Tribolium castaneum: one gene and its partner. The protein of the gene in region 2 interacts with the protein of the main gene of each other region in a biochemical or structural test. Links are inferred from orthologs where the notes say so. Each region holds a gene or a part of one and is shown on either strand. Other genes may lie near its edges.

The links.
Region 1: the proteins of ImpL2 (region 2) and LIRP-like form a complex in vitro, tested with the Drosophila melanogaster proteins (2 studies listed by BioGRID, with this or other methods). The link is inferred for Tribolium castaneum from reciprocal best matches to the Drosophila melanogaster genes ImpL2 and Ilp2.

What each region holds. Positions count from the first base shown.
Region 1 is NC_087402.1:11,374,290-11,377,229, reverse strand, and holds LIRP-like, read right to left. Parts: upstream 1,240-2,940; 5' UTR 1,122-1,239; coding exon 1,086-1,121; intron 1,040-1,085; coding exon 856-1,039; intron 809-855; coding exon 600-808; 3' UTR 526-599; downstream 1-525. Other genes in the region: uncharacterized protein LOC103312864, read right to left, coding at 1-84, 133-288, 334-393. UniProt on the Drosophila melanogaster protein: Possible ligand of InR/insulin-like receptor. Plays a role in regulating body size by increasing cell size and cell number of individual organs.
Region 2 is NC_087401.1:8,464,744-8,469,328, forward strand, and holds ImpL2 (ecdysone-inducible gene L2), read right to left. Parts: upstream 3,120-4,585; 5' UTR 2,314-3,119; coding exon of another isoform or gene 2,245-2,313; coding exon 2,053-2,244; intron 1,622-2,052; coding exon 1,441-1,621; intron 965-1,440; coding exon 633-964; intron 587-632; coding exon of another isoform or gene 578-586; coding exon 566-577; 3' UTR 361-565; downstream 1-360. UniProt on the Drosophila melanogaster protein: Essential developmental role during embryogenesis, in particular the normal development of the nervous system. May be involved in some aspect of cell adhesion.

The DNA of each region.
Region 1 (2,940 bases), on a different chromosome or scaffold from region 2:
CATGTAACTAACCGCCAACATAGTTATAATAAACCAAATCAGCGAACTCAACAAGAGATACAAGGAAATATGTTTCTCTTTCCCCTAAAAAATCGAAAAATGAGCGTTGAAACGCGCGCAAAATGAACCAACCTTTATGATACCTATTAATAATAACAGACCAACGAAAATAAGAAACGAGGCCATTTGGAAATCCACCACGACGAAACCTACCGTCACGTCGGCATCGTTGTTTAAATATTTCGTTAACAGCAAAATTCCTTCGGCCAATATGTACAAGCCCAAGGTCTGAAAAGTCGATTCCAGGGTTAATCAAACAAAAAATGCACTCACAAGGTTCGATAAAGCAACCACAACTGAACACAACTTCAAGCAACTGCAGGAAGCCGACATTGTCACAACGAATTTATTTTTAAACGCATGATGGTTTGGTATTTTATGTCTGATACAACAGCGAAGCTGCGGCTATTTTTGAACAACCTTGGGAAAAAAATCACTCAAAACGAAAAGAATAAAACTACAAAGTGTATGCAACATCGTTTATTCTTTTACAAAAAATATCATAATTTTTTAGCGTAACTACGAGCACTATTATTAAGTTATTGTCCACAGTACAAACTCAAGTGTTTGAGAGAGCAGGGTTTCCGGCAACATTCGTCCACAATCCCAACTCTGGTCCTCCGAAATCTGATTGGAAGAAACGAATTGACCGCTTCTTTTTGAAGGAACGGAAAATCGAGTTGATTTTCGTCGTCGCTCTCGTTGGGGAAATACTCGTCGTATTCGTTGTAGGCGAAAATATCATTGGCTGGAAAAGTGTTATTACTCGCAACATAACAAAAAATCGATTCTTACTCGACTTTTTGGTTGGGTTTGGATTCGGAGAGTAGTAGTTCCCTTTGCAGAGCATTGCTAAAGTCTCGGCCAGTTTTGTGCCGCAGAAAATTTCGCGTTTGTTCATCAAGTGGACCATGTGCGGTGAAGACCAGACGTAAATAATGTTAATGAGGAAGAAGAAGAGCAGAACTCGTTTGTCCATCTGTTGAAACACGTATTTTATTGGGGTTTTGGAACAAGTAACTTACTTTATTAGTTGCTGGAAGTAGTTTGCGAACTATCATTTTCGGACAAAACTCTCGCTTTTATAGGAATAGTGTTTACATGAAGAGTCCAAAATATCACACAAAATTATGCAAATATAGGTCAGACGTCTTGTTCGATGTACACCCCCTTAGTACAGATGGGTACACAATTATTTCCAAGCCACTAAAGACAAGGGTTGTGGGTTAAGATAGTGAACAAAGACTGAATAAAAAGTCAATTAGTTTGCTGAGAATTAATTATGGTATAACATACAATCATCACAAATTATATTACGAAGAACTTTCCATGTTGTCATTAAACTGTTATCGGAAAAATATCATGTAATAAAATTTTGATGTCTAATAAATAATGTTCAAACATTAAGGGTCGGTATACAGAAAGCGAAATTAAAATTTAATTACGATTAAAACGTACTGTAAATCAGCCCTAAATATTCTACATTTGAAAAATTAACAACGAGTAATTGTTCTACTTTTGATGTACAATAAATTTTTGAAAAAAATCCATTCTAAATCAAATTACGGTAATAATCAAAAAATCAAATAATCTTCTTCGATTGTAGAGGTTCTAGAAATCCTCTTCTAGTTAACTTTTCTGTCTCTCTATTTTGTGCATATTAATGAAATTACTATGAGAGAATATATCGCATATTGAATTTCCACTAAAAGGAACTAATAAGAAAATTACAAAACTTCAAACAGAATTTATTTTTCTTTGAGCTTGTTATGTTTATACTTATAACCTATTAAAATTCACCTCTTAATTTAAATAAAACCAGGGCCTTAAAAAATGGTTTGAGGATCTAAACAACAAAATAATTAATACTATTTTTAACTAGTTGATAATTCAAAGTTGCCAGGGACAATCCCTCAAATGCTCAAAAAACGAGTGTTTTAAAAGTGTTCGTGTTAATTAGCGAACTTTCAGTTCATTATTTTTACTTGATCACTAAATAATCGTTCAAGTTCAACAAACGTTGATACAATAATGAAATTACAAAAGTAAGTTGCTAAACGTTTTTTTTAAATCATTAAATTTGCAAAATTGGGTTGTATTTCATACAAATAAACTAAATAAAAACAAAGAATAGTTTAAAATTTTAGAGAAAATTGATAAAAAGAATGAAATTAAAAGCAGACACATATTTACTGATTTGTTTTTATCAGATTCCAAGGCTCGAAAATTAATAAATTTTTTCAGTTTCTAAAAAAAGTTACAATACAAAACTAAAGTATTTTTTAATAAAACATCTTCAGAAACTTTTATTTGTCGTTTCTAATACTAGGTTTCTACTTCTTTATAAAAATGTATTACACAAAAACTGAGAATACTAGAAAAATAAGGTTTTAACCATTTTAAGAACCAAAGTTCAAGTTGTAGGTAATAGTCATTTAGCCTTTTGCAATTTGAGTACCAAATCATTAATCACTAATCAGTAAGAAATACTCTACTGTTAATGTTTTTATTTTTTATAGATTGAAAAAATATACAAGTTTTATTAAGAGAATAATTCATATTTTAACTTTTCGAATGCAACTGCAAGCGTTCTTTTTTCAAGCTGACCCTATTTGATTTTTTTTATTTTTGAATTTAATGAAGAGAATTTTAAAATAAATTTGCTTTTTCAAAAAAAAAAAACTGAACAAGCTCTACCAAAAAAAGCTGCAAAACGTCAGCATGTATATAGGTGATACACAGAGTTTGTATCCATAAATTTTGTGCAAAATTATTTACATTAATATTTTAATGGTTTAATACCTAATGCCCTAAAAACGTTAAAATTTTATGACATACAGTCCATCACATCAGATCAATTATTAATAAATATTTATAAAA
Region 2 (4,585 bases):
GGCTGCAAACCTCAAAGGTTATTGCGACGCGAAAAATGCTAATTACCTACCTTTTATTTTCTTTATGAGGTGATCATTGCCGCAATCGAACCGTTACACGGAATATCAAGAATTTATCGTCAAACTCATTTTCATTTCGAACTGTCAAAGTTGTGACACCTGACATTTCAAAACTATCACAATTTAAAGACGGCCATGCACGAAAGGCATATGGTAAAGGCGAACATACGCGGCGTATTGCTGGTTGCCTACAACAATATGACGTCCAATGACGTCTGCCGACTTGATTAAGATTTCAGGAAATTTTATTGAGTTTATACAGTTAGGAAACAATAAATAAACGCTCGGGTGGGTTTAATGCTTGATATTTTCTTTATTTACTTACAAACCTTACAATAATATAAATAAGTACAGCGGTCTTGTAATTATTACACATATAAATACCTAACTCATAAATACTAGATGGAATTTCCATAAATAACGGCCACACTATCCTAGGAGTATTTTCAAATTGAACATTGACTAGATTGACATAAAGTGCGTTCGTTGCGCCCCCTGTGTTTCGTTATTTGGACTCCTGCAATCCCTAGTCAAATAATCACCAAAACCAAAAAAAAAAATCAAAATTGTACCTTCATGGGGTAAAGGAAGGTCTCAACGGAGTCTTGCCCAACCATGTTACGTGCCACACAAGTATAGACCCCCATATCAGCCCAACTGAGCGACCGAATGCTCAACGAGCCGTCAGGAAGGGCGCTCACACGAAGGTCATTTTCGCCAATTATCTGCCCTTGAGGGTCAATCCACATTTGGCTCGGCTTAGGATTGCCTAAAGTGCGACAAGGCAAAATCACATTCGTTCCAATCACGTCCATGTAGGTGGGGGCCCAAAGGGATATCCGGGGCACGTGGTGCGCCCCCAGGATTTTCGTAGTGAGCACTTGAGTAAAGTTGTGCTCGAAACCTAAAGCAGGCAACCAACGTTACACCATTTCCAGACTAAACTACGATTTAAACTTAGTTTAAATTTAAACCGAGTTTACGTAAGCTAAAGCTTAAGCTCGAACTAAGCAATTGCAAGTGTTGGGACCAAATTCCATGTCAACTGGCTGACTAAATTCTAGTAAAAAATATTTTAGAAAAATTGAAGCAGGCAACCAACATTGCACCTGATATTTTTTTAAATTTTTTTTCCAAAAAATGGATTCATAACTAACTAAAAAATTTATAAATGAGGCAAAGATGTGACTAAAGCCCCAGGATTAAATTTCATGACAATTCCACGATTATTTTTAATAATAAAAAATTAAATTACAAAAAAACGAAAAATTTATTTTCTCGCAAACTATCCGTCCGAGTATATTGAAATTTGCACACGGTAATGGCGAAGGCGTCCATAAGCTTATCTATTTTTTTTATAATTTTTTTATCTGTTTTTACCTTCTTTTTTGATCACGTAGATGGTGCTGTCTGCAGTTACTATTTTGGAGCCGCTTTCAGCGACACAAGTGAATCGGCCACTGTGGACGGGTAGGAGGTAGTTGATGACGAGACGAGCTTTGATTTTGCCGAGTCCTTCAGAAGGGGTTTCCGAAATCATGTTGCTTTCAAAGCTCTGGTGCTAGAAGGTAGGCAACCAATTATACACGTGCGAGGGTGGTTTTCAGTTAATTATTGATAGAGAGTAAACAATTATAATCCGGTTAATTCGCCCACGACATAATGTTTCGTGTTTGCGCTTTTGAATAATGAGGACTTTAAGTCAATAATAATACGCTGAATGTTTGGTTTTATCAATAAATAAATTAATGACGTTTATTTGAAGGTGACGCTTTGAAATTGTGTTTAATTTTAATTATCGTTTTAATAAAAAATGTCTGATAAGAGTTTAAACACAAACACTGAGATCAGAATTAAAGTGAGAAAAAAACAGTGGTGCCAACCGTAACATTAATTTTTCTCCGAAAAAATAATATTTACATTAAAAAATTTTTTCGCGTTTTTGGATTTTTTGTACAGTGTGCGTCAAAAGCAGCGCGATTTTTTGCATACCTCTGTAAGGGGGGTTTTTCCTCTTAGCCATTGTAGGGTGGGGGGCGGCGAGCCCATCGCCTCGCACTCGAGCTCGACGTAGGAGCCCACCGTTTTGCTGATAACGGGTTTAGGTGGAGCGCTTATCTTAATCCACTCGTCTTGGTCCCGATAAGCCATAGATCCGGACGCCACCGAAATCTCATTATCCATATCATCCGTCAGTCTTCTACAATTGGCCACTTGGAAAGCGACCAATAATACTGATAACAACACCTGGAACTGTCGGTCAAGTCAGAATCGAGCGTTCTGATTGGCTGGCAATGCGTCACGTGCGATTCCGGGAATGATCTATATGTATATACGTGCGCGGTTCTGGGAAGTACACGATTAATTAAACGCGTTGGCACGTGTGTAGACGCGGCATTTGTGAAAGAAGCTTTCCGAGAAAACGCCAGTTTTGATTAAAATAGGGGACGGAAAAACCGTCAAATCATCAAATTTTTACAATCGAAGGTGGCACTGGTGATTGATGACAACGCGGCCAAAAGTTATCACGTTTCACAACCTCAAAATGATAAAAAATTGTGAAAATTGTACAATGACACAAAAAACAACCACTGATACACTTTGACCCTCCTAATATTTATGCTATAAAAAAAAATCTAAACCAAACCATGCATTTTGGCATTTTTTTAAGATAATTGACGAAAATTTCCCAAGTCACATGCCACGATTAATTACTAATTAAGTAATTACGCTGCTTAGATTTCCAGAATTATGTGATGAATTGATGATTAATCACAACACGTGTTTCGCTTTATAATATGGAGGAGAAATTTCTGTGAAAAATTGCTACAAATATTTATTTTTACTACATAGTAAGAGATATCATTCGTTGACCTTACTTGTAGCAGTTGGCCATGAAAGTACTTTGATTACTCAAATTTTATGAGAATTATAGTAATGCTTGTTAATGAAAAAATCTTTGTGTTCCACACAGAAGGTCATGAAAATGTAAAGAGGTGAATAGTTTGTAGAGATTTTATCTAATCACCTAAACAAACATTTTCAAATTTTGATAAAACTATTACGGGGAAAAATTTGGACGAATATTTGTAGATTTCATTCATTTTTTCTCGTTCATTCAATATAATTTATAGATAATAGTTGGCCATGAAAACGTAAATCTTTAGATAAGAACAATTTTGTGAATGGGTTCTAGTTCCAACATTTATGTAATTTCACACATTTGTTTGCGCTTTTTTTCTCATTTTTGTGTGTTGGTAACTTACCAACTGCACAGCAGATGAAATAATATTTATTATTAATGAGTGCGCTTTATTACTGTGCCAAAAATTAAATGTTTCATATTTTGGGCATGAAAAAATTAAACGGTCTGTCTGTTTTTAAATAGGCGACAAGAGTAATTACGCCTTAATTTTGTTTCTCAAAAAATCTAATTTCTTAATTAAAAACATTTTAAAACAGAACTTTAGAGAAAATGGCAACAGCGTATTAGCGTTTTTGAAGTGAAATAGGGCACTGATTTGGACTTTATGACTTTATGACATTGACAAATTTCCTACGAAAAAATTCCAACAATTAAAAGAGAAAATGAATTGACTCAAATGAAGGTACAATGTGTTGTTAAATGATTGTCATCTAGTTAACTTTGAAATTGGTTTACATGTAAAAAAATTGTGCCGCTCTGTCAACAAATGTCAAATCTGTAAGTTGTGAGATTCAATTAATTTCCTTCAACAATTCTGTTAAAATACAACTAAATTGTTACACTGTCCAAGAAAACACTTTCAATATCGAAGCTTATTTCCGAATTCGAGATTTAATAAATGAAGAATGGTAATATTCAATGTCTAAATGATTTTACATGAGAAATTCACAGACGACTAGATGGGAATCATTTAAAAACACATTGTACTTTAAAATGGGAATCTGGCAACACTGCTTTTAGCCAAATGGAAAATAAGAAATATGAGTGTTTCCATAAAAACCAAAACACCAACCGACGGTTGGTATAATAAATATAATTTCATAATGCACTACTTTTAATCAAAAAACTAGAGTACACCTTGTATATTTTTTTTGAAATCTTGATTGAACTTAATGACATACTCTGTAGAAAAATTCGAGCTAAATGAAGTAATAATAATTAGAAATTACCTCCTTCAAGTGATATAAAGTTAAATAAATATCGAAAGTACGTAAGTATACCTGAAAAAGTTGAAAATGTCATTAATCGAGCTTTCTTCTCCTACTTAGCAATAAAAATACATTTGCCTTCAGTTCCAACATTTCTTTTAGATAAATCTTATCTTGAGATTTTACTTTATCATATTTCAATATTTAATATATAATTCAATCATATTTCAAAAAAACAAATGCATTTTTGCGTGGGCTCGTTGGTTTGTCGACACATTTTCAAAATTTTCAAATGTACTCAGTAAAAAGAAAATGGAAAATGTTGAAAATTGAGGAAAACTAGCCACATACATGTTTTTACTAAACTTTTTACAATAATTCATTTTTGTGT